Diceros bicornis minor: one gene and its partners. The protein of the gene in region 1 interacts with the protein of each later gene in a biochemical or structural test. Links are inferred from orthologs where the notes say so. Each region holds a gene or a part of one and is shown in the gene's direction. Other genes may lie near its edges. The genes, in order: RB1, EID1, AHR and PRDM2.

Evidence for each region.
Region 2: the proteins of RB1 (region 1) and EID1 form a complex in vitro, tested with the Homo sapiens proteins (5 studies listed by BioGRID). The link is inferred for Diceros bicornis minor from reciprocal best matches to the Homo sapiens genes RB1 and EID1.
Region 3: the proteins of RB1 (region 1) and AHR form a complex in vitro, tested with the Homo sapiens proteins (2 studies listed by BioGRID). The link is inferred for Diceros bicornis minor from reciprocal best matches to the Homo sapiens genes RB1 and AHR.
Region 4: the proteins of RB1 (region 1) and PRDM2 form a complex in vitro, tested with the Homo sapiens proteins (2 studies listed by BioGRID, with this or other methods). The link is inferred for Diceros bicornis minor from reciprocal best matches to the Homo sapiens genes RB1 and PRDM2.

Annotation. Positions count from the first base shown.
Region 1 is NC_080748.1:28,794,707-28,801,979, reverse strand, and holds the start of RB1 (retinoblastoma-associated protein), read left to right. Parts: upstream 1-4,272; 5' UTR 4,273-4,507; coding exon 4,508-4,641; intron 4,642-7,273. UniProt on the Homo sapiens protein: Tumor suppressor that is a key regulator of the G1/S transition of the cell cycle. The hypophosphorylated form binds transcription regulators of the E2F family, preventing transcription of E2F-responsive genes.
Region 2 is NC_080744.1:45,426,611-45,433,236, forward strand, and holds EID1 (EP300-interacting inhibitor of differentiation 1), read left to right. Parts: upstream 1-4,252; 5' UTR 4,253-4,493; coding exon 4,494-5,069; 3' UTR 5,070-6,120; downstream 6,121-6,626. UniProt on the Homo sapiens protein: Interacts with RB1 and EP300 and acts as a repressor of MYOD1 transactivation. Inhibits EP300 and CBP histone acetyltransferase activity.
Region 3 is NC_080742.1:43,514,349-43,522,350, forward strand, and holds the start of AHR (aryl hydrocarbon receptor), read left to right. Parts: upstream 1-4,989; 5' UTR 4,990-5,582; coding exon 5,583-5,647; intron 5,648-8,002. UniProt on the Homo sapiens protein: Ligand-activated transcription factor that enables cells to adapt to changing conditions by sensing compounds from the environment, diet, microbiome and cellular metabolism, and which plays important roles in development, immunity and cancer.
Region 4 is NC_080752.1:31,950,143-31,957,100, forward strand, and holds the start of PRDM2 (PR domain zinc finger protein 2), read left to right. Parts: upstream 1-3,935; 5' UTR 3,936-3,951; intron 3,952-6,958. UniProt on the Homo sapiens protein: S-adenosyl-L-methionine-dependent histone methyltransferase that specifically methylates 'Lys-9' of histone H3. May function as a DNA-binding transcription factor.

The DNA of each region.
Region 1 (7,273 bases):
GTCATATTCTCTCTCCTGAAGAGTGTGAATTGGTGGCATGGAGAGAAGGCCAGTATGGCAGGAGAACAGTATAAAGAGAGGAAGACACAACATTCATGGCGAGGGGAAGGAGGGAGCCTGTTGTTGGAGGGATGACAGGATACATGAGTGCAGCAGCAGGGACTCTTTTTTTCATGCTCTTCACTTTTTTCCCTCTAAACTAATCATTACTTCTGAATAATTCAGGTAAACTGAGCAACTCTTTATTTCTTGAAACCTGAAAGAATCTAAGAACACACACATATGGGAGGAGATTTAACTCATGGGAATGAAAAAGAGCAAGAAGAGAGGAGAGGTGAAGATCTTCTAGGCCAGTGCTATCTCACACTATCTGTGAAGGAACTTTCTTTTCTTTTTAATTTCCAATATTTCATGAATTGATATGTTTGAAAATATTTTGAAAATAACATTTTAAAAATTACTAGGAAAATGAAAGCAAAGGGACGCAAAATACAAGCTCACATTTTTTAGTATTTTAAATAGTCATAAAATTACATTTCAAAAAATTAGAATTAAAAAAAATAGGATAAAAGAAAAAAACTACAAAAACTACACTTCGTTCACTGAAAGTGTACATGTAGGTGATTAATAGAAAATTGCTAATACACCCCTAATTTTTTGTCATTCCACAGTCATAACAACTAAATAAAAAGTTGGTAGTGAAGTAGCAATTTCCTATATTAAATGCTATAATAAACAATATTTAATATTTTAAGTTTTTCATTATTTAAAGTTTTTAACATTGACAAATGAGTGTGGTTCTTGTTAAATTATCTAATCTAGGTTGGATTGGTGACAATGTCACTAGCAGGATATAATGTATATCCAAACTGTTTCTATGTTTTATTTTAATAACATTCATATCGAGAAATCAGTCTCCAAAGGTATGTGTAAGGGGATGGAAGAAGAGATTTTAAAGCAATTTCAACAAGCTCAGGATATTCATTTTTAAATTCTACCCAAAATGAAGCAAGAGATGTTTTATTTTCAAAATTCATCTTCAATTCTTCATCAGTAGCCAGTTCCAAAAATTAGTCCTATAAAGTTAGAGTTACATTTAAATTATCTTTCAAAGATATGGATTCTGGATCCATGAATTCCCTATGTGTGGAGTTTATTTTCAATTCAAAATGTTTTATCAAATTCATAATTAGTTTATGTTTTATATGTAAATGCCACTGAAGTTTGATGGCTTTATTGCTTCATTAGTCAGTACCTGGTTTTAGCACTTCACTGTGAGTTATGGCTATGAACTCAGTAGATGGGGGATTATACTCGAGTAAAATCAGTACAAACTCTTAGATCTTGAATTCTTTGGAATCACTTCTCTGATGATTTGTTTACTACTTTATTATTACTAACACACTGCTGACGTGTCTTTTCTTGACAAAACAGGACAGTGAGGTTTGTTTTGCCATCTATAATTTAAGGTTAAGAACAAATGACAAATTTTTCTTCCCTAATTTAGCTACAAATTCCAAAAAACAGGCTTGATTAAAAATTAAAATGACTGTAAAAATAGCAAGTTATAAAAGTAAATAAATATTTACATTTTCAGATTTTTATTCACTTTTGGGTTACAGTTGACAAACTAACCTTAGAATTTCACTCCTTATAATGTGGTCCTACTGCACATGACAAAGACACAGCCATGCCACCTGCAACTCACCACACAAGTTGGAGAACACTTGAACTGTTCTATATTTTGTTAATGAGAGGTGTCCTATAATCATGTGCTTGGATATTGATGAAATGTCAAATTGCTATAAATGCTGCTAAGCACTTTTAATTTCTATAGTTATCTCCTCATGGACTACACACAAGCAGTTTGGAGGCTGGTACTGGTCCAAGGACCACATCTTGAGTAGTGCTGTCCTAGGGAACCTGCATTGAAGAGACTGGGAGAAGAAGAAGAACTAGTGGAGGAGTTTATGAAGTAACAGAAGGGAGGAGGAAAACAAGACCATAGATTTGTGGAAGACTAGGGCAGTTTTAAGAAAGAGGAAGGGGTTATTAACTGTGTTAACTGCAAGAAAGGTCAAGTAGATTGAGGACCAAAAAGAAGCTACTGAACTGACAATTAGGACATTGGTGACCTTTGAAAGAGTGATTTCAGTGGAGTGTTTGTGGTAGTAGTAGAAGAGAGCCAGGCATTAGTAGGCTGAGGGTTTGAGGAAGTAGATGGAACAAATAGGGCTACCCTTTCAAGAAGCTAGATGGTAAAGAAATGGAAACTGTGTGGTAGTTTAGGAGTGCAAAACAAGACTTTTTAGGCTAGGGGAGACTCAAAAAAAAATTTTGATATCACTGAAGGAGACTCAAGCTGAAGAGAGTTCTATCTCCAGATAGAAAATCTAAGAAAGATTTTTCTTTTTTGGTCTCACAGCCATCTTCTTAAATCTACTATGGAGGTGGGGGAGGATCAGGGGAAATTTCTATTAAGAATCTGCAGAATTTCTAATACTTTGGTATTACAACAGAAAGCTGTGAGGGGATGTAAGGATTTTGATTGACTCTATTGCTCCTGTAAGGATTTTAAATGTAGCAGGGGACACAGTTAAATTAATCCTTGGTAAAGATACACATCCTTTTGTAAATTGAGAAATGTCTTCGATTTATCTTAATTGTGGTAAATCCAAATGTTGATAAACTGAGTTTAAATAAAGCAGGTCATATCTACATATGAAGAGAGTTTACTTAGGTTCTCAGAACTGTCCTCCACTCTCCTGGCCTCCCCACCTTTAGCGAACAAGCATTTACCGTGTGCCCAACCCTTTGCTAGCTACTAAGGCCAAAACCATGCCTAAGATTTGGTCTCAGTCTTGAAAGGGCTCATAGGAGAAATACTATCAGTCGTGATGCTTTCTAGTGCAAACAACTGAAAACTTGCTCAGCTGAGGTCAGCTCTAGGGTTGGTGAAGTTAGAGGTTCAGTTATGTTATCGAGGACCCAGAATTTTTTGATATTCCTACTGTACCATCTTTAGCATTTCTGCCTTATCTTCAGGTCAGCTTGCCTTAAGTCACAATGGCTGCGGCAATTGCAAGCGTCACATCCTCATGATAATAGCTAAGTGGTAGAAAAACTGTGTCATCCTCGTATCTCATTTTAGCAGGCCTTCAGCAGACTATTTTTGATCTTGCAAAGACCAAAATTGCATCCTGAGCTCCTGCCTACACTAATCCCAGGCAAAGCGAATAGGAACTTGGATGGTATTTGCTCTCTCTAGCTGGGGCTGGGCATGGACCCTACCTTCTGACAAACTTCTGGCCCTCAAAAGAGGGTTTCTGAAGTTAGGCAGCACTAGCTGTGGAGTAGGCCAACGACTGCTAACCCTTTTTACATCCTGCTATATGTCATGGTATACATAGAGAATGATAATCAATTGTATGGTGTTTTCTTTAACGACATAGTGTAATGGATAAGAACCTCGGTTCAAATCCTCTGCCACCCATCAGCTCTGTAATATTGGGCAAATTAATTACCTCCTCTGAGCCTGTTTCCCCATCTGGAAAGTGGAATACTACTACTACTCATTTTAAAGGGTTGTTGCTGGGATTAAGGGAGATAATCATGTAAAACAGCCAGCACAATCCCTGGTACATAGTAAGCCCTCCTGAAATGTTAAGTCTGCCAGGCAAACTTCCATTCAACTGTCGCTGCTCTTTTGAGGTCTCAGACAATTCGACGGTGCCTCCTGTTTTTGCATCACTGTTAAAATATTTATCACACTATAATCTGTTCTTTACCCACAGCCCCTACTCCTCCCTTCCCTAACTAGTGATCTCTAAAAGGTCAGTAATTGTCCTACACTTTGTAGCTCCTAGTGATTGGCAAAGTTCAGCTCCTTTTACGCGTTCCACAAATGTTTGTTTTTGTTTTGGCCGACTGCTTAACGGATTGGGCGGGAGAGTGTGGTGGGGAGGGCGGGCGCCGCCCACGGGGGAGAGGGGCGTGCCCGCCGAGGGTGTAGCCGCCTGATATTCCCGGCAGGGCCTGAGCGGGAGCCGCTGCTCAACCCACAAACAGAGGGGGCCAGGCTCACCCACCAGACTGTGTAACGCTCCGTGACCGGCACCCAGGCCCGGAAGGGAGACTTTCGGGTAGAGACAGGTTCAGGCGGCGGCGGCGGCCTCGAGGAAGGCGGCTCGGCCCAGGCCGGGGCTCTGCGCCCAGCCCTCCCGAACCCGCACCCCCGCCCCGCGCACCGCCCGGCGCCCCGGTTCCCTCCCGACGCCGGCGGGCCCGGGAGCCTCGCGGACGTGACGCCGCGGGCGGAAGTGACGTTTTCCCGCGGTTGGACGCGGCGCTCGGTTGCCGGGCGGGGGAGGGCTCGTCCGGTTTTTCTCAGGGGACGTTCAAATTTTTGTAACGGGAGTCGGAGAGGACGGGGCGTGCCCGACGTGCGCGCGGCCTCCCTCCCGGGCCCACCTCCACCGCTCGCCGGCTCCTGCCCGGGCAGGGCGTCATGCCGCCCAAAACCCCCCGGAGAGCAGCCGCCGCCGCGGCCGCCGCCGAACCCCCGGCGCCGCCGCCGCCCCCGCCCCCCCCGGAGGAGGACCCCGAGCAGGACAGCGGCTCCGAGGACCTGCCTCTGGCCAGGTGAGCGAGCATCGCCGCGGCGGCCGCCGGCGCGCGAGATGGGCGCTCCGAGGGTGCGTCGAGGCGGGCGCCGCGGCGTCTCGGCGGGGGCGCGTCTTCTCCGGGTCCGGGTACCGGCGGGAGGAGGGTGCCCGCTTGTCCCCCGCCGCTGTGGAGCGCCTGGAGGAGGATGACAGGCGTCTGGGTGCGGGAGCGAGGGGAGGGCAGCCGGGAGGGGTCTCGGCTCCAGCTTGACAGGTGTCGGGCGGGTGGGGCTCGGGTCTCTGAGCGAAGTGACAGGTGCCGCCTTTCCTCAGCGAGTCGGGAGGCTCGCAGGCGGCGGGTAGTTTCGAGGCCCCATCAAACGCAAAGAGAAAAACAAAAACGAACTGGTGTCTGGCGGACAGTTTTTCTCCGGTCGAGATTTGTAGTTCGCCGGTGGTCGTTGGACTTTCTGTTTTGGTTTCCTGCGATGCGGCAGTGGGAAGTGTTTTTCTCCGGGCGCGCACTGCATCTGAAGCCCGGTCCTGGGAGAGGCCAACCAGGAAAGCCTGCGACGCTGCTGCAGAGACGCCTTGGGATGTGAAGTGTAGGGTGCTGGGTGTCACTTGCCCCCAGGGTACTCGACTGAGGTGCTATGTAGGATTTCCTTATAACAGTGCTTTGAGGCCTTGGGCTTCAGAGCCATCGATAGTGCCTGGTGGAACATAATTCTTTAGAGGAGCTCGTGTATGGGCAAAAGTTTTTTGAAACGTTAGTGTAAGTGCTTAAAAGTTTCTAAACGTTTTCTTTTTTCCCTGTTATATAAAATTCTTGCATGTTAATCTGCTGCAGCATGTCTCATTATTTCTTCCATTTTGCCTTTAGGCTTTGAGCCAGCAAGGATCCTGGTGTCCCCTCTTTTGTTCGTTTGTTTGGGTACAAAATTAGTGGTGTTCGTGTGCTCACATGGAACTATTTTTTTCCTAAGTGGAATCTAAATTTAAGCAAGTCCGTGATAATGCAGTAGAACATGACAGGGAGCCATTTATTGTATTGCAACATCTTATTTTTCTTGATTGTGATTCTTTATGGTTAAGAAGCTAAGATTGAGAGAGTGTAATTGTCATTATTGTTGTCAGCACTGGTCCTACTTTGAGACTACGCGTCCATTGCAGGGAATGAGCCTCCTTTCTGTCCCTCACCACTCCCTCCTCCCTTCTAGTCCATCACCAAGTCCTATTTCTTTCAACTCCCCAGACACTAACAGAGGTCAGGGGAATTGTAAAAGGTTGGAATGGGCTTTTGGAATTGGCCTGTGAAAGGCTATTAAAAATTCATATATTTAAATGAACTGTCTTACTGGTCAATTAAAAATCATGCTCACTAGTAAAAAAAAAAGTCTGAGGATGTTCTGGGAGAAGACATTACTTTAGTTTCTCATTAAACTGATGTATCCAATACTTGCAAGTTTCCCTTTGGAAAGAGCACTAATGTCTACTTTAAAGAATTCCATGTTATCCACATAGCTTTGGAAACATTCTCCATTATTGTAGGGTAACTAGAAGTTCTTGAAGTTCTGGCCGAGATCTGGGACTAGAAGAACTTTGTTTCTTTTATTTTTTCCCAACATATTATTTTGTATGCCTTTAAATGATGGAACTGTCAAAAATTCTCCTGTAAGTTAAATCCATACAAGATACAGTCTGCTGTTGATTATCCAGACCCACAAAAGGTTTCATTAGCATGGGCAATCGAACTCTGTAGATTAACTACTTAACAAGGGTAGAACCCTGGTCTGGTAATCTGAAACTGAGATTAGGGATGGATTCAGGGCCCAATTTAACTGCACTTCCAGTAACAGTTCATTTCTACCTTGAGAGTTGAGATCGTACTTCTGTTGCATTATCTCTGGCCTAAGTGATGTAGTTGGAAGGGAAACCATCACTAGAAACAGCACCCCACCTTCATTGTTGAGATAATCAAAAGTTAATTATATTTTGAGGGAGAGTTGGCAGTCTGGAATAGTTGTCAAGGGCGTGGATTATGGAGTTAGACTGTTGGGTTTATATCAAGGTTTTCCACCTACTAGCCATGACCTCAGGTGAGTGCTTAAACTTCTATGATTTGGTACTTATCTATAAAACAGGTTAATAAGAGTACTTACCTAGTAGGACTGATGTGAAGGTTCAGTGAAACCATGCTTCTAAGGTGCTTGGTAACGGGGTCATAGTAAGTACTCAAAAATTATTAGCTTTTTCTCTTATTATGATTATTCTTAGAAGTCAACTAGGTATTAAATGAATGAAAAGGAATTAGCCTACAAGTATTTATTAATTGCCTATCTTAGTTAAGGAAGATCGAGGAGAAAAGGCTGAAATAAGTGTAGCAATAATTTATGTCAAGTTGATCATCATGTGAGAAGTGCTAGTAGGTAGAGAGTTTATATGAAACATTGATAAGTGTAGACTGCATTTTAGCAAAGTCACTGATACTGAATTGATTCTGTAATATTATGTATGGGCTCTCCTATTTTTGCTGTTATTATTGTCCCAATTTTCCCAAACAGCTTTAGCTACTGTACTTATTTCCTTTGCCAAGCTGTTTTGCTGCTCTGAAGTATATGTGATTCACCAGACCAGCAAACATCTTTCACTCTGTGGTATCCTTATTT
Region 2 (6,626 bases), on another chromosome or scaffold:
CTGCTTAGCATCCCTTTGGAAGCCACTCCACCACATTCTATAATAATCTCATTTAGACCAGGAGGTTCAGGTGGGTTTGACATGTCGCTTTCACTGCCATTCTCCTTGCAGGTGGATACACGATCCAGGCCTTGCCAATCAGAAAACACCATCCCTCTGGATACAGCAAAGCCAATCAATGTCTTTGGGTTGGAACTGAGGTGGATAATAAGAGAGAATGCATCTCTCTCCGCCATTAAGGACTGTGTACACCCAAAGCTTCTGGGAGCCATCTTGTGCTGCCATGAGGGAAAAGCCTGCAGGAAAAGGAAGTTTTCTCTCTGGAGAAAATCAGAACTGAGAGTTAAAAACGGGAAAAAGTCTAGTGGTAACATTTGTTTCATCACTTCAACCAATACATTTACCCCCTTCCTTTATCTTTTTATGTATTTTTAAATTTTATTTATGTTTATATAAGTTAGTTTGAATTGGGTTTCAGTGATTCACCACCAAAAGTCTCCTGACTGGGCTGGCCTCATGGCGTAGCGGTTAAGTGCGTGCGCTCCGCTGCTGGCGACCTGGGTTCAGAACCCGGGCATGCACCGATGCACCACTTGTCAGGTCATGCTGTGGCTGAGTCCCTTATAAAGTGGAGGAAGATAGCCACAGATGTTAGCCCAGGGCCAGTCTTCCTCAGCAAAAAGAGGAGGATTGGCATGGATATTAGCTCAGAGCTGATCTTCCTCACAAAAAAAAAGAAAGAAAGAAAAAAAATGTTTAAAAAAAAAAAAGTATCCTGACTAAGGCACTAACAGTAAGACTTTCAGTACGAAGTAAGACTATCCAAGAGAACTGCATTAGCTAGCCAAGAAGATTGTCTTTTTTACCTGAGATTCTATTTGGAAGCCCCAGTGTAACGGCCCGTTTGCAGAGATGTATTTGTCATACTGTTTTGAAGTTTCATTAAAACCCCAACTGTGCACCTATTAGCTAATCCTGTCTTCAGAATCTACTACAGCTGCTTATATAAGAGGACCAAGCAATTCTACTCTTAGATGTATGTCCAACAGAATCCTGTAAATATGTGCACCAAAAGATATTCTAAAGAAAGATAATCGCTGCCTTGTTCATAATAGCCCCAACTGGAAACAATCCCAATGATGACCATTGTGATATTCAACTCATGGACTACCACACACAACAACATATATCTTGGGCAAAAGAAGCCAGACACGAAGAATTATACTGCATGGTTTAAATTATTTTATTCTGTTTGAAGTCAGAATAGTGGTGACTTCTGGGGCAAAGGAAGAGACCACAGGTGGTTTTCCGGGATCCTGCAAATGGTGTTTCTTGATCTGCGTAGTGGTTAAACAAATACGTTAATTTTGCGATAATCAAGCTGTACACTTATGATTTGTGCACTTTTCTATATTTATGTTTTCTAAATTCATATTTCAGTTCAAAATAATTACTAAAAGCAAAATCAATATACAAAGATCAATGTCATTTGCACATATCAGCAAAAGCCAACAGAGACTGTATTCAGGGGGTGGGTGGGGAAGATACATTTTATAAGAGCACCTACATGTAAAACTAATAAAAATTGTGTAAGGCTTTTTGGAAAACTTCACTCAAGGATATAATTAAGACTTGAACAAGTAAAAAGATATGTATCACCTTCATGGATGAGAAGACAATATTGTAAAGATGTCAATTCTCCCCCAAGTTAATCTATAAATTCTGTGCAATTCCAACAAAAATTCCACCAATGTCACTCAGGGAACTTTTCATGCTGCTTCTAAAATTCACATGGGAGAATAAATGTGCAAAAAGAGATAAAGCCATTTTTTAAAGAAAAAAGGGACAAGATTTTTCCTTATCAGATAGCATGACATATAAAGACATATTCAAGTTGTTTCTAAAATTCATATGAGGGCCGGCCCCGTGGCTTAGCGGTTAAGTGCGCGCGCTCCGCTGCTGGCAGCCGGGGTTCGGATCCCAGGCGCGCGCAGATGCACTGCTTCTCTGGCCATGCTGAGGCCGCGTCCCACATATAGCAACTAGAAGGATGTGCAACTATGACATACAACTATCTACTGGGGCTTTGGGGGAAAAAATATATAAATAAAATTAAAAAATAAAATAAAATTCACATGGAAAAATAAATGTCTAAGAAGAGCTAAGACAATTTTTTAAAGAACAAAGAGACGAGATTTTCCTTATCATCAAGCATATTCTAAAACTACAGAAATTCATTAGAATACAAAGTCTGAAAACAGACTCAGGGCTGGCCCCGTGGCTTAGCGGTTAAGTGCATGCGCTCCGCTGCTGGCGACCCGGGTTTGGATCCCGGGTGCGCACCGACGCACCGCTTCTCCACCCATGCTGAGGCCGTGTCCCACATACAGCAACTAGAAGGATGTGTAGCTATGACATACAACTATATACTGGGGCTTTGGGGGAAAAAAATAAATAAAATTATAAAAAATAAATAAATAATAAAAACAGACTCACATATTCATGGACTTTTAGTCTATGATAAGTGTGGCACCAAACAGCAGACAAAAAGACAAATGATTAAATTAGTGGAGTTGGCTGAATTAGCTATATATATGGAAAAAATATATAAACAAATTCTGTCTTTTGTGTGTGTGTGTGTGAGGAAGATCAGCCCTGAGCTAACATCCATGCCAATCCTCCTCTTTTATTTTGCTGAGGAAGACTGGCCCTGAGCTAACATCCCACCCGATCTTCCTCCACTTTATGTGGGACACCGCCACAGCATGGCCTGACAAGGGGTTTGTGGGTGTGCGCCCGGAATCCGAAACCAGCAGAGCACACGCATTTAACTTCTACGCCACGGGTTGGCCAAACAAATTCTGTCCTCATACTACTTATATAAATAAATGTTTGATTCATAAAGATCTAAAAATATATTAGAAGACAAAGATAGAATATAGATCTACAAAGACAGAAACAAAGATCTACAAAAACATTAGAAAATAAAAGATTATGCTTGTGATCTCTGAGGCAGGAAAAATCCATCTTAACAGAAAGAAAAAGACATACAGAAAAAAAAACCTTAAATTTTATTACATCAAAACTCATTTTAAAACTTTTGTATAAGAAAAGACCCTTTGAAACAGGACAAACAACAGGCAGGCAGAATATATTTGCAACATGTAAAAAGTATTCATATAAAGAGTTTATGAGGATTCCTACAAATCAATAAGAAGAAACTCAAATAAGACCAATAATTTTCAGAATAAGTAATACAAATGTTTGATAAACATATTGAAAGATAATCAATCTCCAAGAAATCGAGGCTATGGAAAACAAAACAAGATACCATTAAGTTGATAAATTTGTTAAAGTTCAACAAAAGCATGTGTGGCAAGGGTATGGATCTTCTCAGACACCGCTGACTAGAGCTTAAATTTGTACAGCAACTTTGGAGAGCAATTTGACAGTATTTATTAAAACTAAAGTATGCATACCCTACGATTCCACCTTTCCACTTTTGGGTATTTAGTCTAGAGAAACATTGGTGGATGTTCATTTACCTATAGTTTATAGTATCAAAAAATTGAAAACTATTTGTGCATAGTTAGGTCAACTATGCCACAGCTATACAAATGGAACGCTATGAAAAAATATATATCTTTGTATACCAACAAAGCTAAATCTTCAAGATATTGCTGAGGGGTTTTTGTTTTGTAACTTGAAGACAGTTATGAGACGTAAAAACACACACACACAAAATAAGCTTTTTACACGAATTCATAAAAATCTATGTAAATGCAAAGAAACAGGATTTGAAGAATACACACCAAATCGGTAACAGCAGAAAGTTACCTCCTGCAAAAAGAAATGGGACCCCGTATCTCTTCACTATAATTTTCTTTAAAACGTACACGGATAATATGCTTATGTGTGAATTTAACTTTTTTTTAATGAGGAAAATAGAAGAGGTGAATGGATCAGTTCTTAACATGTCGATCTGTGGTTGAGAACACTGTGTGATTTGGAGGTGTGGATTTGTAAGTCATTAGCTCCTAGATAGATAACAGGTAGTGAAAACCTTGGAGCAGATGCGATTGCCTGGAGCGGGGGGAAGAGGAGGAGGGCGGGGGGAGGAAGGGGGGAGGAGCAGGAAGACGCTGGGTAAGCGTCGTTACAAAGGCTGTGTAGAGTATCTTCAAGTTTACAGCATCAGCAGAACGGTTAAGTGAGGCGGAGACTAAGCAACGGGCTAGTATTTACAGTCTCTAGGCATGACGTTCGACACAAGGGATACCCAGACCACCGAGCCACGCTGACGCCCCCTGCAGAGCAGCCACCAGCTCCCGCCAGATCAGGGCGCCAAGCGGGAGGCGGGATCCCCCAAGCGGGGGTCGCGCAGACGCACGAGGTTACGCAAGCGCACGGCGTTAGCGCACGCGCACAGCCGCGCGGCCGCGTAGCTCCGATCTTGCTGAAAACGCTGTGCGAGAGGTTGAGCTGCTGGTACGATGTCGGAAATGAACGAGCTGTCCGAGCTGTATGAAGAGAGCAATGACCTGCAGATGGATGTGATGCCTGGCGAGGGTGACCTTCCGCAGATGGAGGTAGGCGGCGGGAGCCGGGAGCCGTCCCCGAACCCCGCCCGCCCCGGGGCCCCGCCGCAGCTCGAGGAGGAAGGCCCGATGGAGGAGGAGGCGGCCCAGCCAATGGCGGGGCCGGAGGGGGAGCGCGGCCTTGCTAACCGGCCCAGCCCCGGGGAGCAGCCGGGCCAGGTCGCGGGCCCCGACTTCGAGAGCGAGGACGAGGGCGAGGAATTTGACGACTGGGAGGACGACTACGACTATCCGGAAGAGGAGCAGCTGAGCGGTGCAGGTTACAGAGTATCTGCGGCCCTCGAAGAAGCCAACAAGATGTTTCTGAGAACATCCAGAGCAAGAGAAGCAGCCCTGGATGGCGGGTTTCAGATGCATTATGAGAAGACCCCGTTTGATCAGTTGGCTTTTATCGAAGAGCTTTTTTCACTTATGGTTGTCAATCGTCTGACCGAAGAACTCGGCTGTGATGAGATTATCGATAGAGAGTAGTTAAATGCTGTTAAAAGAGGAGGAAGCTACTTGAGGAGAGACCCAACATTCCACTGTCTCTTGGGTTCATTCCAGATAGTTCCATGCCAATGAAAAACTTGATCTTCAAAAAAAGTCTTGTTTTGCAGAATAGAATAGGACAGTGACTGTACAGTTGCGAAAAAGGAAGAAAATTGTTGAAGAATCTTAGGACTGTTAAAACCTGTTTTCAAGAATGTCCTGAAAAACACCTATGGCTTTGACTTTGTTGCTGATCCAGAGTATTTTCCTTGCATTGGGGAAAATATCTTTCATATTTCACTGTAAGGGATGGTTTTGCAAGAATAAGTCATGACCAAGACAAACTGCCAGCACAAGAGCCCACTGATATATCCAACGTAGGACACAAGATGAGTTTGAGTTATTTGGACTGAAAGCCTATTGAGAAAACTTTGAAGATTCCACTTTGTGATCTGTCCAAGCCACAATTATCAAAGGCTAAATTTTTAGTGGAAGATAAATTGAGTATTCTTCAGTATCCCAAAAAGAAATATGTATCACGTGTGCTATATCTTAAAATGTGTTTCCAAGAACATCTGAAATTTTGTTTGTACATATATCTCGATCATTTATAAAGCTACTATGATCTATAATTCAAGAAAATTCATTGTCTTAACCATTTTTAAAAGTCAAAAATTAAGATGTTAATAAAGTTTCAGATTTAGACTTTAAAATGTATGTGCAAGTACAAAGAAAACAAACTATTTCTAACACCCTTCTATACTAGAGAAATTTTCTGTTTTACTTGCTCTCTGTTTTTCATTTAACTGTACAGGCAAAAGACTTGGGTTGAACTTCATAATTAAGAACTGTTAAGTGAAAATTGTCAAGTAAAAGAAAAGCCCTACATCTAAAAAAGACCTGAACAATTATGCTGTCAACCTTTAAAAGTTTTAAACCTGACTGGAAATCCACCTCAGTATTTGAAGTTTCCCTCTGTCTCCTCCTCTAAATAAGCTTGTTATTGGTTATGCACCAGCATTCAAGATAATAAAATTTCTTGTTCTGTGTATTTTGTTTGGCTAATAACATTGCATACATACTTTCTCTAATGCTTTATATTGGATTATACTATTTTATTGTATTGCAACCACTTTATGATATAAATTTAACCACTTTATAAGGGAAAGTGCTCGAGCTTCAAATACCTACTGTAGATTAATTTGTGGAAATTAAACTTAATGAATTCCTGTAAGAGAATTTACCAACCTGGGAAAGCCTGCCCTATCAATGAGCATGTTGCCGTAGTTATTTTTTTAAGATGCTGAAGTTCTGTGAGAAGAGGAATCATGTCAGAGGGCTGTGCCCAATAAAACTGAGTATATCAGTGGGTCTTATCATGATTAATCAAAAGGTATCAGATGTGCCTGCTTCGTTATGGTAGTAAAGGCCACATCCAATACAACAAGACAGCTCAGCCTTATTTATGTTAACGGTCATCCTGTCTTGTAGGGAGAGAGTTTCTTTTCTGTAAAATACAGAAATGACAAGGATGATCATAATCAAACACTAGCTTGG
Region 3 (8,002 bases), on another chromosome or scaffold:
TTTGCATGGTGTCCAATTGATGTCACTGTGTTGGCCTTGAAAATTTAAATATCCCGTGATGGTGCCCCTTTGAGTTTTTTTGTGGTGCCCTTGAGGTGCCTCAGCACACAGTTTGTGAAGCACAGGCTATGCTCTCTAAAATATTTGGTATAACTATAATGAGGGATCTAAGTCGTAGAAGCAGAGTTTGAGTGAAATAGATCATTCTGAAGGCCTGGGGTAAAGAACTGCAGGATTGAAGAGGAGGTAAAAATTGTGATAAATGTTCTATCTGCATGGTATGCACTTCCTTCCCTACTTTACCTACAAAATGCCTACCCATGCCTCAGAATTCAGCTCAAGCTTCTTCACTTCTTTAGCACAACCTCCCCTAAGTCAAACTCACCTATTACACATTCTCAGACTACTCGTTTCATAGCACTTACCACAGCTGCAATTATACATTTATTTGTATAACCACTTGATTAATTCTTGTATCTCTCATTAAAATGTAAGTTCTAAGAGGCTAGGGATATGTCTGATATCACCATAGTGTCTCACAGTGCCTGGCATATTATAGGAGCTAAAATCTTGAATGAAATGAATGAAGGCATGTACTGTGACACAATAGGGTTAGCATTTATTTTAGTTATTTTCCTTTATTCTAAGACAGCTGCTATGTATAATAACATTCCTAAAACTTATTTCTTTTTCTCATAATATTTAGCAGGAAAAAGAAACCCATAGAAATATAGCTGCATCTGAAACCTCAGAAAGTCATCTCACCTAAACTAAATAAAAGGATAATGGTGCTTTGGATTAGGCAGTCAAATATTAATAAACTCTTATATGCAAACCAATTGTTATAAGAAAAAATCACGTTATTATATAAAAATGGCTCATGGAAAATTTAAAAATTTTAGCAATGGCAACAAAACATACTTTGAGAACCATGTCCTACAGTGGTGATATTAGAAGTAGAAGTGATAGTTTCTAAAAGTGGCAACTCATTCTTTTTTTTTTTTTAATTGCATTATACTACAAAGACTGATTTTATTGACATACTAAGCAAAAATTTTAAGGGCAGTGGATGGTGTCACTATTAAAATGAAATGAATTCTGAAAGTCTTGTTGATACTCTTATTTCAATCTTGGTATACAAAGATCAGTTACTAAACTGATTGTAATACAGTATAGCATGATATGATTTCTGGATAATGAAAATGGTCCTAAAGTCAAAAAGAAAATAAAGGTATGGAAGTAGGACAAAATAAGACAGAGAATGATTGTACCAAAGAACTAACAACCTTAAAAAGGTGGACATTTTTAAAAAACACTAAATTAAGATTGATTATTGGGATTTAGTACATTTAGTATATCCTTTTTCTGAAAAGGAGCTTTAAACTACAGAATCAATAAATTATGTTTTGATATGCATTTTTCACCCTTAAAGTTCCTATGCTAGAAGGAAATTACTTGTTTACACTATACATTTTAGATAGAACAGCTATGAATAATAATACAGAGATGAGGAAATAAAAGAGAAGATAAGATAGAGTTGGTTGACTCTGTGCCCCCAGAACTGCTAATCCATCCACAGCAAACTCTCCTGTATGCACTGTCTTCTTTGCTCCATCTTTTGCCTTAAACTGAAAGCTGGCTCTCCCTGAGGGTGTCATCTCCAAAATGGTTCCTAATTATTTTTCCTCATCACCTAGTTCTCTGTTGCCACTTCCTGCATCACTTTCACTTTATAGTCTTGTAAAATTAAAATAAAACAAAACCCATCAACCACAAAACACACCTGCTCCTTTGTAGGTCATGCTAGAATACTCTCTTCATCACATCTCCTTCATCTTTCTGATTCAAAATTACCAGCCCACTACATCTTACCCACCATCCTCTTTTCCTCTAGCTTCTGTAGAGTAGTGCTCCTCAAACTTCACGTACATTTGAATCAACTGGGAGATCTTGTTAAATTCAGATTCTGACTCAGTAAGGACACCCAGAGGTTCTGCATTTCCTATAACTCTCATGAGAAGCTAAGGACACTGTGAACAGTAAAGCACTACATAAACTCTGTCTGGTATTATCTAATCTGCTATAATCCTAATTCCCCTTTTCTTTTTTGGCCCTCGTTCTCTCTTGCCTTTACCATTTTTAATATCTATTGTTCCCTTACTATTCTTTGTCTTTCTTACACAGCCAATCTCAATCCGTCTCCTCTCTTTCTCAACTGCTTAAGTATCATCCATTAAAAACAACAAACCCTAATTTAACACTTTACTCCCCCTAGCTACCATTCTAGGTCTCTCCCTTTCACAGCCAAACTTTAAAAAAAAAAGAATTGTCTGCGCTTGCTGATGTCATTTCTTCATCTCCAATTCAATTCTGCATCCACTTCAATCTGACTTGCAATCCACTAGCCCACTAATATAGTGTTCACTAAAGTCACCAATGACCTCGTGTTGAGAAGCCAAAAGACATTTTCAATTCTCATCATATTTGAAACTCTCAACAACACTCAATAATGTGAACCACTCCCAACATTTTTCCACTTTGTCCTCTACGACACAATAGTGCCCTCACTTTCCTGTTACCATTCGAGCAACTCTTTTTCATTCAGTTTTACAGGACCATCATCTTCTATTCAGCTATTGGATACTACATATTGAAATTCTCTGGGTCCCAGTCTTTCTCTGGTATATATTTGCACCCTACAACCTCCACTCTCTCATGTCACCTAAATGCAAATGATTTCTGAATTTATATCTCCAGTTCATACATCTTCTTTGAGTTACAAACATGTATATCCTATGGCCTACCTGACATCTTCTCTTAGCTATCTCAAAGGTACTTCAACCCTAAGAGATCCAAAGCTAAATTAATAATTTCCCACCAGTACGTGCCATTATCACATAGCCAGATACATAGTTGAGAACACTATTATGATGTTTTTGACACATCCTCTTCCCTCACTGTCATATATCCACTCTATCTCCCAAGACTTTCCCAATATCTATGGAATCTATTAATTTTCTCCATCTCCACCATCACATCCATCCTAGTGTCAATAATGTCATCTCTTGGCTGGATTACTGCAGATGGTTTCCTGAGGAGTATTACTTCCATCCATTCCGCTCTGTTCCTGCCTCTTTGATCTGTTCTATACCCTGCAGATATGGTGATATTTTTGAAACGCAAATTTGATCATTTGTGCCCTTCTCCTCTGCTCATACTGAACTTGTTTTAGTCCCTCATACCTACCAGGCTCCTTCCCACTAAAGGGACGTTGCTTGTACTGTTTCATTGAGTTGGAATGGTCTTCCCCTGCTTTCTCCCAGCTAACCCTACTTTATCCTTCAGACCTCAGCTCAATCAACATTTTGGGGGGAAAGCCCATATTTGCCTCAATGAGTAGGTCAATTTATCCACTAGAAGATCATACTGAGTTGTGTACTTCTCCATTACAGTATTTCCTGAGAGCATAGGACATTTCTGTTTGTGTTCACCATTGTCTCCCCAGTACTAGCATAATTCCTGGCACATAGGAGTCACCCCCAAATCTTTTTTGATTGAATTAATGTGTGGAGGGGATAATATTAGCTTAGGAATCCTACATGGTATGGCATTTGAGCTAGGCACTGTCTGCTATTATTGAAGAATAAAGTTGAGGGAAATGAATTAGGGATATTGTAAAGAACAAAATTTAATAGTATTTGCCGGAATATTTACATATAAGTGGTAGGCGAGTTGAACATGATTCATAGGTTGATCTGGAGAACGGCGGAGCCAATGACAAAGTTTCAGCTAAAGCATATGACGAGCTTAATGTATTGATGCACTGAAGTTGAGGTAACAAATTTACCAGGTGGAAACAGCTTGAAGACATTTTAAAACGTAGGAATGGATATGGTGTGAGATGTCATCTAGGTATCTTAATCTGGATGCCCTTCTGCTCCTGACAAGCAGACTCCTCTGTGTTTACTATCCTGGTTAACAGCACAGAAAGAGTCAGAAATCCTAGAGCCGTTTGAGACTGCTCTTTCTCTTCCCCTATTTTCTTATCCTTTTCTATCATCATCTGAATTTTCTTTCTTCTCTCCATCCCCACTGCCACTTCCCCGGACTTACACCCGGACTATTTCAACCGTAATGAAATAGTACAACGACCTAAGTACGGTCTCTGCATCCATCTCCCGTATTCCAGTTTGCACTTTCCTCCCAGAGGGACTTTTCCAAGACACCAGAATGTCACTTTTCTGCTATCTTTAAAAGGCTTCCAATGCCTACAGAATAAAATCCAGACTCTTTATCAAGGCTTTATGGTTTGAGCCTAGAATTTCGGAACTTCGCCTCCAGCTCCTCTGTCCAACCATAGCAGACTGCTTATTATCCCCAAATGCCTTGTGCTTCCCTTCTTCCTCGTTTCCTTCCTTTCAACTTTATTGAAATCTGACTACAGAATAACAAAGTTATTCTGGCTAAGGAAAAGATGTTATATTGTTTAGGATGGAGACACACACACACACACAAAAAGCCAAGGAAACTCCTAGCCTTCATGTTTTAACTCAGATGTGGCCTCCTGAAGCCTTTCCCTCTAGGAAAATTTAGAGTTCCACTGGTTATCCACCAGCTCACTGCAATCCTTCGCCAAAGGTTAGCTGAGTCACTGTCTCTCATATAGGTGAAGTTAAGCTCACTATTTGGCATGTCTATCCTTGAGATAGTCTAGCTACAAAGAGTTCGGCTACAATACGCAATTTGTTGTCACACCTCTTTCTGGGCTGCAAATCTGGCCACAGAATTCCACCCCTCGACCTCAAGAAGATGGCTACTGGGGGGCGTCGTTACGCCTTACGTCATCACGTACAGGGAAGGTGGGGCCCTCAAGGAAGATGGAATGGAAGGGCGGGGCCAAGTAGGACGGGGCGGGGCCACGAGGGGCTGGGCGGGGCCGGAGACGGGTTGGGGGCGCTTCTGCTATTCAGCCGGTGCGCGCGGCGGCGGGAGGCAGCCCCTGGCGGGTGCACTCGACGTTCCGTCCCGGGAGCGTGCCCAGGACCAGCGGCTCAGACCTAGGGCAGCTGCGTAGCAGAGCGGAAGCTGGTGGCACCGGAGTGGCGGTCGGAGTCCGAGCTCCGCGGGCGGGAAGCACCCAGGATCTGGGAAGCCCCAGGAGCAGCGCGGCGGCGCCTCCCTTACCCGAGGGGCCGCGGCGACGGTCACGGGGCGCGGCGCCACCGCGCGCGACCCAGGCCGGGATTCCAAACAGGCAGCCCAGCCTCCTCCTCCGCCCGGGCCGCCTCACCTGCGGCCAGCGCCGCGCCGCCTCCGCCGGTGTAGAGGACACCTGCGCCACCTCGCGCGCCGGTCTCCGCCCCCGCCCCCCGGCGCCAGGCCCGGGCGGCGCACCTGGACGCGCGGGGCTGCGGGTGCCGAGGAGCGAGGACGCGGCGTCCTCGCTGCCGTCCGGGGAGGACGCAGGTGGAGCAGCGGGAGCGGCTTCGTGGAACCCCGCGCCCGCTGCCGCCGTCGTCCAGGTCGCCGCTGGCTCCCGGGGAGTGGGCCGTCCGAGCCGGGGAGGAGCCGCCGCCGGCACCATGAACAGCAGCAGCGCCAACATCACCTACGCCAGTCGCAAGCGGCGGAAGCCAGTGCAGAAAACGTGAGTGTCCGGAGCGCGTCCTCGGCGCGGGGGTGTGCGCTGTGGCACGCGGGTGCGGGAGGTGGCCGCACCCCGCCCCCAAATCCCCGCGGTCCCGGGATTAGGTCCATTCCTGACACAGTCCGTGGAATCGAGATTTGGAGGCCGGTCGAAAGACTCAGGCCTTGGATTTTCCTTTTTTAATTATTGCATTTTAAAAATTGTGCCCCGTGTCCCCAGCGCACCCTCTCGCACCTCCACCCCTTTGCAGCTCTGTTCTCTCTTCCGTGGTCCTAATTTGTTGACAGCTCTGGTCTGCTGTGTGGGGCTGGTGGATTAGTTAACCTAAATCCGCCTTGAAATCCCTTTCCACTTTTAATATCCTCATCGGTTAGGTTAGAGGACGGTCATAATTCTCATTCCTGGTAGGGCGAGATGTTTTAAAGATCTAAACACGTGCTGTCTGCAAGAAAGTGGCTGAGTGCCTCTGAGGGTATTTTTTGGTCCGGTGCACCTGGCTTCTGTTGGGCTCTTATTTGACAGTAATTTTGTAGCGCTCAACGTGACCATATCGGTAAAATGTATAGAGGTGGTAGCAGGTATGAGTGAGTGTAGTGGACAGGATACAGTGAGGGATTTGTGTTTTCAGCCACCTTTTGGAGGAGCTTTCTTATCACTTTGGGGATGGTTTTAGGGTCGTAAAGAAAAAGATTTGGAACTGGAATTACTGAAACAGACGTTTTCATTCTTAACATCTTTCTCTAATTTCCTTTTCCCCCACTGCAAAGTTTTGTCGATTCTAATAGAATGGTTACAAACTTAGATTTTCTGTTTGTTTTGGTGGGCTATTTATGTGAGATGACAAATACTTTAAAATAATTTTTTTTCAGAAAAAAAAATCTATGCTTGAGACAGATTTACTTTTAATTGGCTTTATTCATGTGTTTATTCCTAATTATCTCTGAGACACTTTATTTCACATTTTTCAAATTTTCATAAACAATTTTAAGAACACCTTAAAGCTTTACTCAGAGCAAATCAGAAGTGTGCATTTTGGTTAAAACTTAACTTAGGTCACTAATCCAAACCGGAAAAATAAGAGTTTAAGATTTATATTTAAAACCAGTAACTTGGTTTAAAAGTTTCATTATTCTGGAGTTTTAATTTCCATTTAGAATTTCAATGATCATAGTTCTTCAGATCTAGACTTGGCATTAACAGAGGATATTCGTCTATAAATAGACTGATTAAAATTTGGAAGTCTTATCCTGCAGTGTGGCTAACATTAGGAATACTGCCGAGTCAGCAATTTTCTGTCTTGCCTGTTCTGTGACATTGGTTTACCATACTTGTATTTCGTAGAGTGGTTTCTTACATAAAAATGTATTTGTCTAATTCTGTGACACTGGTTTACAATACTTGCATTTTGTAGAGTGGTTTCTTATATAAAAATGTGTTTGTCTAATCTGACTTTAACCTTGATGGTTATTAAAATTGAGAGGCGTTCCAAATGCATGTCCTGTGTAATTACTAATACAGTAGCATAAATATAAAGAGGTATCATGGGTTTTTATGTGTATGGTCATAAAACTTGAATATCTCTTTGATGGATTTTTAAGTTACTGAGTTTTAGTCAGTGTGTTACAAAAGGACCTAGATGACTTTTTTAAGAAAAATCAAATACTTTAATTTTGTATTCATTATAAAGTTTAACATTTTTGGCTCCTAGTTAACATTTCATTAAAGATCTTCCCTTTAAACATATTACATTTTCTTTTATTTATATAAGATGTACCTTTTATTATTTTATCTTAACATTTTAATATACTTTCTAAGACTTTAATAGTTTGTATTTAATAATCTCTTGTACTACAACTAAAGCATTTTCCATGTTTACTCTCATTTTATTTTATTCAGTTAGTATAGATGTTTATCAGATCTTTACTGAGCGCCATGCATTGCTTCTAATCATGTAAATGCCTTAAAATATCACTGCCCTGCTCCATAAGGAACGCCTATTGCTGCTATTTGCAGAATCACTTGAAATTGTTTATCAGTTGTTTTTACCTGGATGAAAAATGGTTAACTTTATAATGCAGTTAATCAAAGTTTATTTTAGGAATGTGACCATTAAACTCAATATTAAGTTTAATATGAATTTTTTAAATTACTACCTTGGAGCTAATGGGGTCTAAAATATGCCAACGTTGTCAGAAAAATACATCTTGTTTGAGCTGAAAATGCTATTCAGATGTGGTTAACTTTGACCTCTTAAGTGATAGCCATTTTATTTTACTTAAAGAGAAGATATATTGTAGTATAATTATAGAACTGTTAATAAAATGGCCATTTAAATATATAATTCCATAAAATTTT
Region 4 (6,958 bases), on another chromosome or scaffold:
CTGTTGTTGCTGTTGTAAGGATTACATGAGAAGGTAACATAAAAGTGTCGGTGTAAACTGGCGCTCAATAAAGGTTACCTCCTTTCCCCTTCTCACCGTTAAATCTCACCACTGCTATGATTCCTCTGTACATTTGGAGGCTGCAGAAGTTTTTGCACTGAAATTACACAGCCAAAAGTGTCCATTATGCAATAAGATGTATCTTTAGCCCCCAGAATTTCTATCTTTGAACTTCATTTCTTCATCTCTAATCAGAACCCCAAATCCAAGTTCCAAATCTTTTGGTTGCTGGTATGCTTGCTCACATGTCATTTCTTGCTTGGGTAAACCATGTGGCGGAGGGATAGGGAGGGGGAAAAGTGAGGTGAAGAAACCAGGAAAAGAGACTCTGGATCTCATTGAAAACGATTTGCAGTCACGAGGAAAGGGGACTCAGGATTTAAAAAAAGTAAGTGATGTGTTATTTGAGCAAAATACGAGTTCATTTGATGCAGTTGCCCTTAGACACTCGATCCCCTTTCCCCTGACCATGGATGCTCTTGTCTGACAGTCCAAGGAGAGTATTTAGAGTAGTCTCTTTACACAGATATAAAAAAAAAAATACTTCCCAATTCCTACCCCAAGTATCTCAGTCGAGGAATGACTTAGTAGTTGAGAGCATGTAATGGGAGAGTTGCCTGTACCAGCTCTCAGGCTTTTCCATGTATGTGTGTGGGTGCCTGTGTATGTAGCATAGTTTACTTGTTAAGCCTGTAGCTTACTAGGAAGCTACATTGTCTAGGTTCAAAACCTGGTTCTGTCACCAACTAGGCAAGTTCTTTAACCTTTCCTGGCCTCAGTCTCCGCAGCTACAAAATGAGGATAGTGTTTATCACGCGGGGTTGCTATGAGGATGAACCAGATGGTCCTTGTGAAACACCTAGACTAGAAGCCAGCGGAGAATAAGTACTGTTATCATTCGGGGAATTCTAAGCCCACTTACATTCCCATTGGTGATGGGTTGTGAATTCTTTAATCTTGGCGGTAAAATCTTTCATCTTTTTAGGAGCAATGCTGTAGGTCTCCTGGCTGCCATGCTGCGCAGCAGTCCTGTGGTTCCTAACATAATCATATGTTGTCTTTTAAATGCACAGTGTCTTTGGCCCACACATATTTGCTCTAATCCAGCCACATCAGAAGAGCCAGGGAGAAGACTTTTTTCCCACTAAAAATATCTATCTAGTGTTTGCTATGTGCCAGACACCATTCTGGGTACTGGGATGCTGTGGTGAATGACGATTATTGTCCTCTGTAATGGAATTGCATGTCAAGGTACGAAACCAGCCAGGACCTGTACTAGATGTACCTGTGTAGAGCGGAGTTTCATCCATGCTGTAGCTCTAGACAAAGAGTGCATTTTATACCTCCATCCCCTAATATAGAAATGGCCCATGAGATGTGATGAAATGTCTCAAATTCCTTCCCTCACCCTTTAGCAAAATACATCACCTTTTCAAAGAGGCAACAGAGTAATAGTTGGCATATCAGACAGATAATAAATACTCATGAAATTACATTGTATTCTCAATGATTTGTATCTTTTTTGGATTAAATTGATAAAACATATACATTTATCCTGAGAAGTGGCACAGGTTGAAAAACATAAACATGTCCAAGAAAAATACGAAGATGAAAAATACACGATGGCTGATTAAGGGGGTAATTTAGCAGTGCTGAGGATATACCCAGTGTGGCAGCCTAAATAACGGTCCCCAAAGATACGTCCATGTCCTAATCTCCATATGGAAAGAGGTCTTGGCAGATGTGATTAAGTGAAGGGTCTAGAGTTGGGGAGATTATCCTGGATTATGTGGGTGGGTCCTAAATGCAATTACATGTATCCTTATAAGAGGAAGGCAGAGGGAAATTTGACCACACAGAGAGAAGGTGATGTGAAGATGGAACAGAGAGAGATTTAAAGATGCTGACCTTGAAGACTGATGTGGCCACAAGCCTAGGAATGCTGGCAGCCACAAGAAGCTGAAAAAGGCAAGGAACGATTCTCCCCTAGAGCCTTGAGAAGGAGTGTGGCCCTGCTGATGCCTTGATTTTGGCCCAGTGATACTGACTTCGGGCTCTGGCCTCCAGAACTGTGACAGAATACATTTCTGGTGTTTTAAACCACTCACTTTGCAGTAATTTGTTACAAGAGCCACAGGAAACTAATACACCAAGTCATTTTAGACTAATGACAGGGAGAACAACCACTGATTACTGTCAGCCATCTCTTGGTATGATGCTATCTAGTGTACGTTCCGGTTCACTGTATCACTTCTAATTTAACATTCCTTCACATTCTATTGAATGCCACAGGGCATATAGCTTTTCTTTTAAATTTTTGTTTAGTATGTCAGTGTTTTGACTGAGGATGAAATGATGGAGCTTCCCCGACTTTTTTTGGAGATACTCCAGATGACTTTGATGCATGGATCACATTGGGAAGCATCGATCTAGGTAAGGGATGGAAAAGTCTGATGTCTGCTCTGACCCACAGCACCGTACACTATTTTAGTGACATGCATGCAAGTATCTCCCAGATCTCTTTCCCTTGAATAGTGGAAGAAATAATCCAACTCTTGAGGTTTGATTTCTTTTTTTCTTAGGCTCTGTGCTGACCCTGTCACTTTTTAAGGCCTGGATAAAATTTACTCTGATGAGGTTATCTTCATTTGTTCACAATATCTGACTAGGTCATTAACTACAGCACCATCCCTTTACAATAAGATTATAACATGATATATATTGATACATCATGTTTTCTTAATATTAAACCATAGTTACATAAATGGGCTTGTGTGCTCCTTCAAAAATTCCCAAAGCACATCTGCATCTAACTTGGTGTCTATTCTTTAGGGTGGGTCCTTTCCACAGAGGCCTAATGTCACCATTCCATTTAGATTCTTCCTGATTCCATTCTCAGGGCTTTATCTTGAAGAGGTCATGGCTTTAAATACCATCCATATGCGGCAACTCTCACCTGTCTATCTTGTCTCCAGCACGCATCTCTTCCTCAGCTCCAGACTCCTTTCCAACTGGCCATCCATCTCTCCTTGGACGGCTACTAGACATCTCCAGTTCAACCCAGGTCCTCTCCATGAGAGCATTTACTTGTCGTCGTCTCCCCGGCCGTCTATGTGTTTCTTCTTTCTTAAATAATAAGTTCCATCAGGACAGGGCCCATGTCACGTTCTGTGCCGTGGCTGCAGCGCCTAAGACTGTGCTGGGCACCAGGCAGGCAGGCCGTAACTACTCATGTGTCACGAAGGAGCAAATGAACCCAGCTGCATCTGCTTGGAGTTTCATCTTTTTGGGTGAGGCAAGACGGGTCTTTTCGAGAAGAGCGAAGAATGGGGTCTATGTTTATTCATTTGCAGGGACTTAGTGGTGAACCCCTTTCCTTCCTCCTCCGCCTTTTATTAAAGGCTGTGGATTCTTGTAGAAACTCGCAAAAGCGCAGAATCGCAGCCCCCTGGTGCGGGCAGACTGGATGCGGGAGGCGCGCTGGCCGCTGTGCTTTTCTTTCAGCGGCGCCGCGCGTGGGGTCCGCGGGGTCCCTGCGAGGCCCGTCCGACAGCGCGAGTCATTCCGGCGGCCAGGCGTCGGGGCCAGTGCGGCCCGCGGTCGTCGGGCCTGCGAGAACCGGGGTCGGTCCAGGGCGGCCCGGGGTCGTGGGGGCGTGTGCGGCCGGGCGTCGGAGCCCGCGGGGCCGGCGGTCTCGGGGGCGCGGGCGGCGCTGGGCGACGGCGCGGGCGGCGCGGGCTCGGGAGGCCGCGGCCGGCGCCGCCCGACGTCACTTCCGACCGGAGCCAAGATGGCGGCGGCGCGGCCGCGGGCGCCGGGGCGGGCGGAGCGGCGGCGGCGGCGCGGGCGGAGGCTCTGGGCGCTCTGAGGCGCGGGGCGCGGCGGGCGCAGGTAAGAGGCGGCCGGGGCGGGCGGCTTCCGGGACGGCGGCGGGCTGGGCGCCGGGACGCCCGTCCCTGCCCGCCAGGAGCGAGCGGCGGCCGCACGCCGGGGACCCGGGCGGGCCGGCGGACGCGCCCCCTGCGAGGTCCCGGCGTCCCGGCCGGCGGGGGCCCCGGAACGAGGCGCGGCCCGGGGGCCCTCCCTCCGGCGCCCGAGCCCCCCGCGCGGCGAAGTTGCGGGGCCGGCTTTGTCGCCGTTGGGCTGCCGCGCGCCCCGCGCGGGGGACGCGTGTGGGCTGCGGGCGGGCGGGGCGGGGCCCCCCGGGGCGCGGCGTCCCCCACAGCCGGGCGCGCGCGGCGCCGGGGCCGTCGCGATTTCCAGCCGTTTGCTTTCCTCTTTTGTGTTCCAGCCGAACGTCTTGCACACCTGCGGTCTTCATTTGTTTCGTGTCTTGCGTCTTTGTGTCGCCTAAATAGTTTCTGTGTGGCTTAAACCTGGACATTGCCCCCCCACTATTCCCATCGCAGACCCACCGGTGTCTTTGTTTTAACAGACGTGCGCTCATATAATATTGATTTTGTCACTGACCGTGTCCACGGACCTATTTCTGACGGTGGCAAGTGAGACGTGAAGTAGACCTAACGGGTCAGCGTTGTTCCCAAACCGCCGACCCACGCGGGGACCGGGAGCCACGACCGGCCGCCGTCTGTCGGGCCGCGAGCTGCGGGAACAACCCCACGTTGAACCAGGCAGCCCAGATCCCCCTCACGACGCAGCTGTGATTTCCCCCGGGAGGAGACATGCTGGCCCCCCGTTTTCTTCCGTTCACGGTCGTGTTGAGGTTTTGGTTTTATTTCAGAAGTGGAACGCCTTTCAGTGAATCCCGCTAGGTCCTCAGATCCCTTTAAACAGACACTCAAAGGGTCGTACCCAGAAGGCGACTAAAATATTTCTTCAAGTGTTTGTTAACTGCAGGTTTATTGTCGAAAGCACCCACAACGTTGAACAACAAACGGAACCTCTCAGTGATTCTCTTAGCCGCAACGCCAGACTTCATGTTGGTTTGATCAGTTGCATCCAAGTACTGGAAAAATGTCGGCCTTTTTAAATTTTTTAACGTTATGAAATTTGCTATACAAATATTAAGGAGGAACTGAAACACATAATCGTATGTTCTTTTTTAGTGGGGTTTTGTTTTTGAGATGCCATGCAGCTGCCCCCCCATTCTCTAGAAGCTTCCTTACGAACACTTATTTGACCACGTTCTTTTGCGTGTGGAATCTCAGCGTAGCCGCGAGGGGACCTTGAAAGATCGTTTTATTTAAGCCCCCTCGTTTCAAGGTATGGAAACCGAGATTGAAATCCGTAGTGGGACCAACACTTGTTCACAGCTCCTGGGCTGCCAGGGCTTTTTCTGTGCATCCTTTTTGGTTTGATTTAAATAAGTTAGTACATTTGAAGGGCTTAGAATAAGCTGCCAGGCACATAATAGTAATGCTCAATAAAGGTGGCTTTTGTTGTTTCTGAAGGTGATGTCTTGGATTGAAAAGTTGGCATATTCAGATTTGTTTTTTTCTCATTTTGTGGACAGTTCCAGAAACAGTACGTCCTAAATTTGTAATAATGTATTCATTTTGTAAGCACTGTGCAAAACATAGCAAGATTCTCACTGTAGAACAATTTGAAAATAGGGAAAAGCACAAAGAAGGAATAGAAATCAGCCATAACTTTCCCACTCCTCAGATAACCACTGTTAACATTTTGGCAGACCTTTTCATCTCTCTCGGTGTGCGTGTGTGTATTTCTTTACTTATATGTATTTATTCTCTTCTATATATTTACATTTTATGCAGAATTGGTATCATACTGTATATATTTTTTGTAATCTGCCTTCCTTTGCAATGTTGTGAGCCTATATCTATGTTAAATATTCTTCATTATGATTTTTAATGCTTATGTGATATATGGACAGGCCATAATTTATCAATTCCATATTGTTCAGTAAGGCTTCTATAGCCTGAGATTTCCTTTTTATTAAGACTTACTTAAAAGGTTTTTCTACCGTGAATTTTAAAGTTCTATAATCGTTTAAGATGTGTGAAAATGTAAATTCTGTTTTTGTCTCTAAATATGCATTTTTCCTGCCAATACAGTTATAAGAAGCAGCATTCAATTTCAGCTCCCTTTTATTCTCTTCTCCCTCAGTCGGGTCTGTGCAGTTACATACATATATCTGCACACATATTCTTTTGATGATTATTTTATGTTAGATATTTATTCATGGGACTGTTTCTTTAAGCTGCTATCTTTTCAAGTTCAAGATCTGATTTACAAACCTTTTAAGTCCTGTTAAATCATAGATTTTCTGGAATGGAAAGTACCTTAGGTTATTTACTATTTTCATCTCTTCTGATTTGCTTTTCATGCTATTTTTAATACTCATGCAGAAAAAAAAAAAAACCTGTGGGCTGTCGCTAGAAAACTCCGTAGTGGGGAGTGAAAAGGGAGTAGGTGGACAGTAGGGGGAAATTGTCAGACTTGGGTGGCGATGTGTAGCTACAGGGAGTTTCCAGCTGGTGGGGACATTACCTGACAGTCATTACTGCTGATACTGCTGACGTGTGTCCAGTGCTGTGCGGTGTCCATCAGCTATGCTGTCACCCTTCAGAGCGTTTGGTTAGACGTATGGGGTAGTGTTCTGGCGCTCTCCTTTTGAAGTTAGAAGTATTAGAGCCATAAAAATCATCTTTGTAGAGTGACTGAAAGCTGTGGATTCCATTAATGAAGGCAATGCCTGGGTTCCATTAAAGCAAGGTTTCTTAACCTCAGCAGTATTGACGTTTGGGGCTGGGTAATTCTTTGTTGTGGAGGCTGTCCCGTACATTGTAGGACATTGTAGCAGCATGCTGGGCCTCTGCCCCTGGGATGCCAGTAGCACCTCCCCCGAGTCAGGACAAATGATAAAGTCTCCAGACATTGGCAGATGTCCCTTGGGGGGCAAAATCGCCCCAGTTCC